Linked DNA regions of Oryzias latipes. The protein of the gene in region 3 purifies or fractionates together with the protein of the main gene of each other region. This does not show direct contact. Links are inferred from orthologs where the notes say so. Each region holds a gene or a part of one and is shown on either strand. Other genes may lie near its edges.

What was found.
Region 1: the proteins of ckap5 (region 3) and tacc3 purify together in Homo sapiens (co-immunoprecipitation; 5 studies listed by BioGRID and IntAct, with this or other methods). This does not show direct contact. The link is inferred for Oryzias latipes from reciprocal best matches to the Homo sapiens genes CKAP5 and TACC3.
Region 2: the proteins of ckap5 (region 3) and slain2 purify together in Homo sapiens (affinity purification with mass spectrometry; 4 studies listed by BioGRID and IntAct, counting the BioPlex papers as one, with this or other methods). This does not show direct contact. The link is inferred for Oryzias latipes from reciprocal best matches to the Homo sapiens genes CKAP5 and SLAIN2.

The regions. Positions count from the first base shown.
Region 1 is NC_019880.2:12,228,391-12,232,524, forward strand, and holds the start of tacc3 (transforming acidic coiled-coil-containing protein 3), read left to right. Parts: upstream 1-1,235; 5' UTR 1,236-1,437; intron 1,438-2,832; 5' UTR 2,833-2,833; coding exon 2,834-2,998; intron 2,999-3,079; coding exon 3,080-3,189; intron 3,190-3,274; coding exon 3,275-3,312; intron 3,313-3,398; coding exon 3,399-4,134. Other genes in the region: kinesin-like protein KIF15, read right to left, coding at 187-217, 496-514. UniProt on the Homo sapiens protein: Plays a role in the microtubule-dependent coupling of the nucleus and the centrosome. Involved in the processes that regulate centrosome-mediated interkinetic nuclear migration (INM) of neural progenitors.
Region 2 is NC_019862.2:1,207,953-1,211,599, forward strand, and holds part of slain2 (SLAIN motif-containing protein 2), read left to right. Parts: intron 1-2,966; coding exon 2,967-3,183; intron 3,184-3,647.
Region 3 is NC_019864.2:27,061,189-27,064,835, forward strand, and holds part of ckap5 (cytoskeleton-associated protein 5), read left to right. Parts: intron 1-866; coding exon 867-1,031; intron 1,032-1,146; coding exon 1,147-1,275; intron 1,276-1,344; coding exon 1,345-1,503; intron 1,504-1,591; coding exon 1,592-1,690; intron 1,691-2,757; coding exon 2,758-2,868; intron 2,869-2,945; coding exon 2,946-3,038; intron 3,039-3,388; coding exon 3,389-3,574; intron 3,575-3,647. UniProt on the Homo sapiens protein: Binds to the plus end of microtubules and regulates microtubule dynamics and microtubule organization. Acts as a processive microtubule polymerase. Promotes cytoplasmic microtubule nucleation and elongation. Plays a major role in organizing spindle poles.

The DNA.
Region 1 (4,134 bases), on a different chromosome or scaffold from region 3:
GAATCTATAGTTCTATTCAACTGAAGTTTACAATAACACAGCAAATATGACAAGTAAAGTAAAACAAGGGAAACATAAAAATGAAAACCTGGGGTTAACCAAGTTGGTTTTACTAGCAAACACAACAACAAAGTGTGTATTATGTGTGTGTTTGTGTCCACAACAGTAATAAAATGTACCACCTACCTGGCACAATGGAGGGATGATTCTCCAAATCCTGTTTACAAAATAATAATAAACAGATCAATCTTCTTCTTGCGGTGCTCAAGAAAACCAATTTTAACCAATTTTAAAAACATTTCAACCAATTTTAAAGTCGAACCATCGTTTAGAGTTAAGTAATCTTGTTAGAAATGCGTAACTTTACAGCTTATTTCTTTCTGAACCTCCCATCATTACCGTGTAGTAAAGAACATCATGAAAAGCTTAGCTAACGATGGCGTCGGATTTAAATGGAAGCATAACAAATCCTAAACCAAGTAAAAAAAAAGGTACCTCTTCCGTTGGAAGTCATTGTTATAGATTGGCGTAGCAACCGTTAAAAAGTTAAAAACATCCCAATGGCGTGTGGATTAAAAAGAAAAAAGAACATCCGGCACTGTTTACACTCGGCAAATCTGGCGGGTTTATCCAATCAGTCTTCCTCGGCTTTTACGTTGGGTGGCAACCATCGTAAAAGGTGCTGGTTCGCCCCCTAATGGTAGTGTTGGTGTAAAAGGGTAATTATTTTTAACAGCACAGGCACACACAAAAATAATAAGTTACTCCTGCAACCTTTGAACTAAAGTGTTACCAAGTCGTATATTAAGCAGCTAGATTTAAAAGCGTGGGTCTTAAACAGCTTTAATTTTAAAATTCGGTCTATATTTTGTATGAGAAGTAATGCATATTGCTACACCCCAACTCTTTGAAAACAAAAGTTTGACAATATTTTTAAAGAGTTTTTTTTCTAAATAAATGGGATATTGTGTCTTAGCCTGGTCTTTTATTTTAGTTTTTTAGGTCTCTTTTATGAGGTCTTAAATGCGTAGCAAATCTGTACTGTGAGTAACTTATTTTGCCACCAAACGTTAAGCTTTAGAAATTAAAAAAATGTTTAGATGATAAATTTCTTGCAGCACAATACTATAAAATCACATTATAGTATGTGTTTTTATATCTACGGAGTTTTAAACTTGGTGCTCTGCTACTCCTAAAATGAAAATCCACTTTGCGTCATTTCCGGTCTTTGATCTGATTGGTTACTCGACCAGGAAGAGCGTCTGTTTGAACACTTTAAACCACGTTATTGGTGCGTTCGGAGACTTTTCAATTCCAAACGGCTGAAGCCCAGAAAAAGCTGGTGAGGGTTTTTCCAAAAGCAAATCCAGACAGGTCTACAACTGAATGTCTGCGTGAAAGAGATTGTAATTTTAAAAAACAGCCTTTTATTGTGAGGTAGGTGGAATAAAGAATTTCTGTCACGGCATTAGATAGCTTTTCTCAGAGTTTGTTGAATTGTTATTCATATCCTTTTACTAGCTAAACCGGCGTTGGCCAACGGTAGTTCTTGGCTTTTTCAAATGTTTATCTTTCATCAGGTTTAGTAAAGTTTAATCATAAAATATAAGACATAAACAATCTAACGAAATGTTAATATTTTTACGTTCACTTGCATAAAATGTATGGCTGCTTTTCTTTCTGTTAACATCCGTTGGATGTTTCGGACTACAGGCCGCATGTAGTCACACACTAATTAAAATGAAATCTTTCTGTTTTTCTGTGTTCGTATTTACACTTCTCTGACCACATTTTAGATTTTCTTATTGACTTCAGCAATAACTAATTATCCTTCAAACTCCGTCAAATTGTAATAGTAATAACAACTGCAGTTATCATCATCGTATATGTATTTATTCTTGTGTATTTGCACATCATGCTAGTGTAATGTATAATATCTCGTAAACGGGTTGTGGGGTTTTAAAATTGAAACTCAATGTTGTGATGTGGCCTCGACCTGAGAAGACCTATTGCAAAATTAACATTACCGCCCTCTAGTGGTTAAACACGATACTACTTAGTGTTATTTATTTATTTATTTTTTATTGTACATTTTTCAATTTACAGACATTCACAGTCACTTGCACAATAAACAATTGTTAATATCTAACACACATATAAGACCGAAAAAACAAAAAACAGTAATATTTTTAACAATGTGTGTACCTTTTTTTTTTTTTTTTTTTTTGTAGATGCTCATTTATTTTACAAGTTACTTTGAGATGTTTCGTCATTTGTTTTCTTGTATTTTCTAAATATGTTTTGTCACATTTTTTTTTACCCATAGTTTTTAATGATTTTATTGGTATTTTAATTTTTTATGAACACAATCTTAAGTGTTACTTTGCACTGTGGCAGCTTTTACAAATGACAGTGTTTTAATTCACTTAATTTAACTATCGTTATTTCTTAAAATTTTCAATGTTTCTTGTTAATTATTTAAGTTAGGTTTAATGCTATTACAACAGGGACATGTAATATTGATATAAATATTTAGAAAAAAGGTCCCATTTACTTGAAGTTGATTAAAATTTCAATTAACTTCATGACTTGATGTACACCATTGTATCCAGTTGACACTGGTGTTTTTACACAAATCAATGTTTCTAATTGCAACCAATGATCATTTTAAGCCAAAGTATGCAGTCTAACTTGCACATGCCCTTATTCTGGTAAAAACATCTGGTTGTGTGCATCACTTCCACATCTACAGTGTCTTATCAGCTGCGTACAGCTTTCATGTTTCCCCCCTGTCTGCAGACTGCATGTTCATTTGTTTTTCTGTTTTTGCAGGATGAGTCTTTCTGAAGTGAATGATGAGAACTGCGGGGTCTTCCCAGGTGGGAAACTTAACAGCTTGAATCAAGACATTTTTGCTCTTGATCAACCTACTGGGAGACCTTCTATCCTGCGTCAGACGGAGAACCTGCCCAACAAGGGTCTGCCAAAGGGGATAAAGGTACAGACTGATCTAGTTTGTGTATACGTTTCACTACAAGATGACAATCTCTATTATAGTTGACTCAATTTCTGTGCTCAGGTTTGTTTTCAGACCCCACGAAGAGACCCGTTAACCAAAAGAATTCTGTCCCCCAACAAATGTGCCACTATCTCAAACGTGGATGAGTTCTTAAATGTGGATACGTCAGAGTAAGTGACTGTCTTGGATCCCAGCGTGTCTCTAAATGAATAATTGTTGCACTGATGTAAGCAAGCCTGTTGTTTCTTTTGGCAGTACTTTATCAATGGAACGTGCTTTGCAGCCACCACAAGGTTCTTTTATCTTCTATTAAGTTATTTCCTTCAGTTTAGTCTCTGTTCTTGCAGTGAGGTTAACAGACCTTTTCTTTTTTTGACAGACCTGTCATCCTATCCTGATGATGACATGCCCATTCAGTGCAAAGGCGGCTACCAGTTGGATTATGACAACCTAGATGCGATTAATCCGTTTCAGGGGTCTAACATGATCCTCCTCTCCCCTGCGAAGCCTGTTGTGGACCATCCACCCGAGAATATCCAAGAGGAGCCAAATGTTGAAGATCTGAGACAAGATGACACACTTCCTTTCATACCATCCGTGGATAACTCCCTTGCTGATGTCAACATCAGCTCCACAGACAGCAGTGTGGTCATCGTGACTATGAACGAGACGGTTGAAGGGCAGGATGCCTGCGCGGCCTCATTTGATGAAGATCGAGCTGCTAACGTGCCTGCAAACTCTGATCTGAACAAACCCGGGAACACTTTTGAAGAGGACGCTCCACTTCCAGCCAAAGGTTCTTATAATTTCGATTTTGAAAACCTTGATGCTATCAACCCTTTTCAGATTGGGGGTTCTAAGATTCAGAATTCACCTGTTCTTGGGAGAAAGGTGCCAGATGATGGCGCACCTGCAGAAACAAACAAACCTGCAGCAGTGGTTTGTGTAGTGGAGGTTCCCCAGGAGGCGGCTGTCCACCCTGAGGCAAAACCCATAGCTGCAGTGGCTCCTGTATCGGCTAGTACAGCCAAGCCATCGCTACTTGCACCTGAGCCGGTCAGTGCTCTAGTCAAAGAAGGAGCAGTCAAACTGGAGTTTAGTTTTGGTGATGGCAG
Region 2 (3,647 bases), on a different chromosome or scaffold from region 3:
GGCTGATGGTTGTGTTGATGTGTGGCTGATGGTTGTGTTGATGTCTGGCTGTTGGTTGTGTTGATGTGTGGCTGTTGGTTGTGTTGATGTGTGGCTGTTGGTTGTGTTGATGTCTGGCTGTTGGTTGTGTTGATGTCTGGCTGTTGGTTGTGTTGATGTCTGGCTGTTGGTTGTGTTGATGTGTGGCTGATGGTTGTGTTGATGTCTGGCTGTTGGTTGTGTTGATGTGTGGCTGATGGTTGTGTTGGTGTCTGGCTGTTGGTTGTGTTGATGTCTGGCTGTTGGTTGTGTTGATGTCTGGCTGTTGGTTGTGTTGATGTGTGGCTGATGGTTGTGTTGATGTGTGGCTGATGGTTGTGTTGATGTGTGGCTGTTGGTTGTGTTGATGTGTGGCTGTTGGTTGTGTTGATGTGTGGCTGATGGTTGTGTTTATGTGTGGCTGTTGGTTGTGTTGATGTGTGGCTGTTGGTTGTGTTGATGTGTGGCTGATGGTTGTGTTGATGTGTGGCTGTTGGTTGTGTTGATGTGTGGCTGTTGGTTGTGTTGATGTCTGGCTGTTGGTTGTGTTGATGTGTGGCTGTTGGTTGTGTTGATGTGTGGCTGATGGTTGTGTTGATGTGTGGCTGTTGGTTGTGTTGATGTGTGGCTGTTGGTTGTGTTGATGTCTGGCTGTTGGTTGTGTTGATGTCTGGCTGTTGGTTGTGTTGATGTCTGGCTGTTGGTTGTGTTGATGTGTGGCTGTTGGTTGTGTTGATGTCTGGCTGTTGGTTGTGTTGGTGTCTGGCTGTTGGGTGTGTTGATGTCTGGCTGTTGGTTGTGTTGATGTGTGGCTGATGGTTGTGTTGATGTCTGGCTGTTGGTTGTGTTGATGTCTGGCTGTTGGTTGTGTTGATGTCTGGCTGTTGGTTGTGTTGATGTGTGGCTGTTGGTTGTGTTGATGTCTGGCTGTTGGTTGTGTTGATGTCTGGCTGTTGGTTGTGTTGATGTCTGGCTGTTGGTTGTGTTGATGTGTGGCTGATGGTTGTGTTGATGTCTGGCTGTTGGTTGTGTTGATGTGTGGCTGATGGTTGTGTTGGTGTCTGGCTGTTGGTTGTGTTGATGTCTGGCTGTTGGTTGTGTTGATGTCTGGCTGTTGGTTGTGTTGATGTGTGGCTGATGGTTGTGTTGATGTGTGGCTGATGGTTGTGTTGATGTGTGGCTGTTGGTTGTGTTGATGTGTGGCTGTTGGTTGTGTTGATGTGTGGCTGATGGTTGTGTTTATGTGTGGCTGTTGGTTGTGTTGATGTGTGGCTGTTGGTTGTGTTGATGTGTGGCTGATGGTTGTGTTGATGTGTGGCTGTTGGTTGTGTTGATGTGTGGCTGTTGGTTGTGTTGATGTCTGGCTGTTGGTTGTGTTGATGTGTGGCTGTTGGTTGTGTTGATGTGTGGCTGATGGTTGTGTTGATGTGTGGCTGTTGGTTGTGTTGATGTGTGGCTGTTGGTTGTGTTGATGTCTGGCTGTTGGTTGTGTTGATGTCTGGCTGTTGGTTGTGTTGATGTCTGGCTGTTGGTTGTGTTGATGTGTGGCTGTTGGTTGTGTTGATGTCTGGCTGTTGGTTGTGTTGGTGTCTGGCTGTTGGTTGTGTTGATGTCTGGCTGTTGGTTGTGTTGATGTGTGGCTGATGGTTGTGTTGATGTCTGGCTGTTGGTTGTGTTGATGTCTGGCTGTTGGTTGTGTTGATGTCTGGCTGTTGGTTGTGTTGATGTGTGGCTGTTGGTTGTGTTGATGTGTGGCTGATGGTTGTGTTGGTGTCTGGCTGTTGGTTGTGTTGGTGTCTGGCTGTTGGTTGTGTTGGTGTCTGGCTGTTGGTTGTGTTGATGTGTGGCTGTTGGTTGTGTTGATGTCTGGCTGTTGGTTGTGTTGATGTGTGGCTGATGGTTGTGTTGATGTCTGGCTGTTGGTTGTGTTGATGTCTGGCTGATGGTTGTGTTGATGTCTGGCTGATGGTTGTGTTGATGTCTGGCTGTTGGTTGTGTTGATGTCTGGCTGTTGGTTGTGTTGATGTCTGGCTGTTGGTTGTGTTGATGTGTGGCTGATGGTTGTGTTGATGTCTGGCTGTTGGTTGTGTTGATGTCTGGCTGTTGGTTGTGTTGATGTCTGGCTGATGGTTGTGTTGATGTGTGGCTGATGGTTGTGTTGATGTCTGGCTGTTGGTTGTGTTGATGTCTGGCTGTTGGTTGTGTTGATGTGTGGCTGTTGGTTGTGTTGATGTCTGGCTGTTGGTTGTGTTGATGTGTGGCTGTTGGTTGTGTTGATGTCTGGCTGATGGTTGTGTTGATGTCTGGCTGATGGTTGTGTTGATGTCTGGCTGATGGTTGCGTTGATGTCTGGCTGTTGGTTGCGTTGATGTCTGGCTGTTGGTTGTGTTGATGTGTGGCTGTTGGTTGCGTTGATGTGTGGCTGATGGTTGCGTTGATGTCTGGCTGATGGTTGTGTTGATGTCTGGCTGATGGTTGTGTTGATGTCTGGCTGTTGGTTGCGTTGATGTCTGGCTGTTGGTTGCGTTGATGTCTGGCTGTTGGTTGCGTTGATGTGTGGCTGTTGGTTGCGTTGATGTCTGGCTGTTGGTTGCGTTGATGTGTGGCTGTTGGTTGCGTTGATGTCTGGCTGTTGGTTGCGTTGATGTCTGGCTGTTGGTTGCGTTGATGTCTGGCTGTTGGTTGTGTTGATGTCTGGCTGTTGGTTGTGTTGATGTCTGGCTGTTGGTTGTGTTGACGCTCTGGTTCACATTATTTTATCAGCACCACATGTTTCAGCGGGCGGACATCTTTGTTTTGGTTTACCTTTCATGCTTCTGTGCTCATTTGTGGTTCAAACAGGCGCATCGTCAGCTTTCGCTCCATTTGCAGATCATTTTTTCTAAAGTATGAAGGAGGAAGTATTATGGTATGGGCTCCAGTTAAACTGCTGTTCTGCCTCTCTGCAGTCCTTTCTCCCAGTAAGCTGAGAAGTCCCGCCACCTTATCGCCGCTGGCTCTGAAGCAGCCGCTCAAAGCCACATCCATGCCCAACTCGGCCACCTCCACCCCCACCCGCTCCCTGGCAGCCCCGCGCAGCGGCCTGCCCAGACCCAGCGCTTCAACAGGAGGAGGAGGAGGAGGCCTCCCCGTGCCCCGGAGCAAGCTGGTCCAGCCTGTGAGGAGGTGGGTGAAGTGTTGCCAGGTGACATGATTTGGGCGGGTTTGGAGTCGGTTCTGTGGTTTTTATTCCTCATTAAAATACTTTTCAATCAGACACGTGCGGTCAGAGGAAGCATGTGAGACACGTCATCATCCGCTCCATTATGAGCAACTAATAATAAAACAAATGTGTGTCCACTAATCTGTTCTGTACATGTAACCCTTGTGCTATCCTAGACACTTTACCATTGGGAGTTGGGTCATCTAGACCCACTAGACAGTGCTCTGAACCTTTTTTCTTCAATGATTTGTGATCTTCACTGGTGTCCATGGATTACATGAAATCTATCCACCTTTGTCATGGTAGGGAGAACACGTCAATGTAAGGGGGGGGGTCATCTAAGATAGCTCAAGGGTTAATTGATATGTATAAATCGATTCCTCATTTTCCCCAAAATCCCTGTATTTCTTGTTCATTTCCAGCCTCA
Region 3 (3,647 bases):
TTAACCAGCTCAGTGTGTGGAAGTAATATAAGCTAAAGCAGCTGATGCTCTAAGCTTCATGTGCTGCAGAGAAAGACAATACATTGTAATATCAAGGTTTGGAATAAAATGATTTTAAATGGAATAAACCTGGAGGCATAATGGGAAACAGATCTACAGTATGTTATTTGATAAATGTTACTCTATAGAGTAGGATTACTCTATGCCCACCCTTTTTTCCTTTTTTTTTTAAACATTTCATTTTGCGTCGAGCTCCAAAAGGGATAGATGTATGCACCAAGGTGACTTTGAATTCAACCTTTAAAGTTAACCACTTCTACCATATCTTCAGTCAAAAATGCTATATTTGAACTACTCCAACACTACACAGTAAGAGTACACAAATCTTTGTGAGGAGATGGGGTTTGCCATGTGAATTATTATTTTTGTGGTAATGCATAATTGGAACAGATGAGACATTTTATTTTGAAAACAGAAAGCAGCGACAATCGTGTTTCATGCTCTGCTGTATGACATTTGGCAATCGCCTAATATTTATCACTGATTTTTACACATGCATAAGCTAAAGACGATTTGATTTGAAGTGGTTTAAAAATATTTCTGGAGATGTTTGCTGGCGCAACATTTTCTGATTATACTATTAATAATTAATATCCATTGTGTGATTTAGAATATTTGAGAAGTGCTTCACTCTGGTTCATCATTTTGTCATGTTCTTATATATTTTAATCTTTGCATGTTTGTTAAGATGATTATTTTCTTGCATGTTCTTAATTTTGATATTAAATGGCCTTAAATGGGTCTTTAATCATTTCCGTAAATCTGTAGAGACCCGATTGTCTATAAGGCCTATGCCCTTGTTTTAGACGACTCTGCAGAACCTGTCAGAGGACATCCTGGCTGTGATGGACAACAAGAACCCGTCTATTAAGCAGCAGGCCTCCCTGTTTCTGGCCCGCTCCTTCAGGCACTGCTCGCAAGCCACTCTGCCCAAGAGTGTCCTCAAGCCTTTCTGTGCTGCTCTCATCAAGGTAAATGTCCTGCACGATTCATTTTGTTCCTTTTTGAATAAGAAATCACTATGAAATGGCTTGTCACTTAAAAGAGAAGAAAACTAACTTTTGTTTTTCCTTCAAACCATCCCAGCAAGTAAATGACTCCGCCCCTGAGGTCCGAGACGCCGCCTTTGAAGCTCTGGGGACAGTCATGAAGGTGGTGGGAGAGAAGGCGGTGAACCCCTTCCTGGCTGATTTGGATAAACTTAAACTGGATAAGGTGAGGTTCATTGCAGCAGAGACTGTTTGTTGTATTTGTAACCTTCCAACGGTGGGTTTTGTCTAACAGATAAAGGAGAGCGCTGATAAAGTAGAGCTTCCTGGGGGGAAGAAGGGTGCTGGAGGAGCACCGGTGGAAAAGAAACCTGCAGCTAAAGCCGCCCCTCCTCCTGAGGCTCCAAAAACTTCTGCTCCAACTAAGAAAGCTTCTGGTGCAGCAGCCAGCAAGGTATGGACAGACTTAGAAAACAACACATCCAGATTGTTGGAAACCTGCTGCTCTGAACTTTAGATCATGCAACTTATTTTTTCTCCAGCCATCAGCTGGTCCACCCAAAAAAGGCAAACCAGCTTCTGGAGGAAAAGCAAAGAAAGTGGCATCTGATGTCAAAGAGGTCACGGAGGCTGAGCTATCGGTGAGTCTGTGTGGAATTTCAACTCACCGGAGCAGAATACGTTAAAAGATAAATCAGCGGAGAGCTCTGAGTTTATTTCTGTTCAACAGATGAAAGGGGTTTTTGATGAGAACCACAATCATTATCAATAAATACCATAGTATCTGAAGGATACTATAGTAATCCAGTACGTGATCCTCCGCGATGACTGGAGGAACTTTGTATTATTGTCTTGATGAAAATAAGAAAAACTGCATAAGCCCATGGAGCTGGAATGATTGGGCGATGTGATATGGCGGCACCCACTGCGACTCTCCATCTGCCGGGCACCAGACTGCTGGTGGGCTGGCATAGCGAGCTCCGCTGCCCAGGGACCAGCACCTAGGTTGACATCACCAGCCGTCTCTGCCAAACCCTGGGTGGTAGTGCATGTTTGCTCTGCCGAACCCTGGGCAGTGGAGCTTGCTAGATAGTTATGCTGTCCTCCGTACGGCTGGCTAGCACACCGGGCGATCACTCCAGCTCCGTGGCCTTATGATATTTTACTTATTTTCATCAAGACAGTAATAAAAAAATAATCTCCAGTTTTATTTTTCCTCTTTCGGGTAAATGCTTAAAGTGGGCCACAGACGGATGAAAGGAACTTTTAAAACTGCTGTAACCCAGGTCCAATTCCCAGTGCTGAAGTGCAGTGCACCGGAAGCAACTCTAAATGATCTTGTGAGCCTCTTTAGAGCTCTCCAAAACATATAAACCCAATCATCCATGGTTTCCATGAGTTGGCGGTTGCTCTGAGGCAGCGGCGTCAAGGACGGGGTTCGAGCAGTAAATTTGACCTGTGTCAAGAAAGAGGCGGCAGGCGCGAAGCGCGCCTTGTGTGAATGCAGCACAACAGTCTGCACTGCAGCGCTGCATCTGTGCTTTCACACACGCTGAAATATATGTGTACTTCACTGCACATCACCTTGACGACGCTTTTGTTTTTTTCAGAGCATTGTACTCATTACTCTTATCCATCGGTTCACTGGGTCGTTGTTAATGGCGAATTTGCTAGAAATGTGCTTGTTAAACTACATGCTGTGTGTCAGGATGGGGTGTGTGAGGAGCTGGCTGCTGGGGTCCTTCCTGAAAACTGTCTGCAAGCTCTGGATTCAGCAAACTGGAAGGAGAGACTGGCCAGCATGGAGGAGTTTCAGAAGGTAAAGTCCTCATTCTGTTGCAGTCCCAGGAATTGGCATGTGAGAACAACATTCAGTGGCCAAATGTGTTCTTGCAGGCTGTGGAGACCATGGATACGGTGACAATGCCGTGCCAGGCTCTGGTCAGGATGTTGGCTAAAAAACCAGGCTGGAAAGAGACAAACTTTCAGGTAACTGTCTCTACCCTCAGAAGATGAATTCCTTTATAAGACAAAACTGGTAATAAAATTAGTTCTTTTCTTAATACTTTCTGTGTTTTCTTTAGCTTTAAACATTAGTGGATCAGTTTAACCAAAAATACCTTTTCATCATTTAAGAAGGAACACAGCACCTAAGAGTGCATTATTCTCATCCTCATTTCCATTTTTAAATGCCATTCCAGCATGAATATTTTTGCCAAAGCTGATCTGTTTTGTATTCAGGCATGTTGATGCTCTTATTCTCTAATGTGGTGAGACAGAACTGGTGGTTGTAGTAAGGGACATTCAAAGCACCAACCTCTTGCTGTGACCTTGTGCAGGTGATGCAGATGAAGCTGCATATTGTGGCCCTCGTCGCTCAGAGGGGCCAGTTCTCCAAGACCTCTGCCAGCGTAGTTTTGGAAGGGTTGGTGGATAAGGTCGGAGATGTCAAGTGTGGCGGAAACGCAAAGGAGGGGCTGACGGCGATTGGAGAGGCCTGCTCACTTCCATGGACGGCTGAACAGGTCCGAATAGATGCTGGGAAAACTCACCATGATGCTGCATTAAAGGTTTTAACTTTTGATTGTTTTGTTTTGT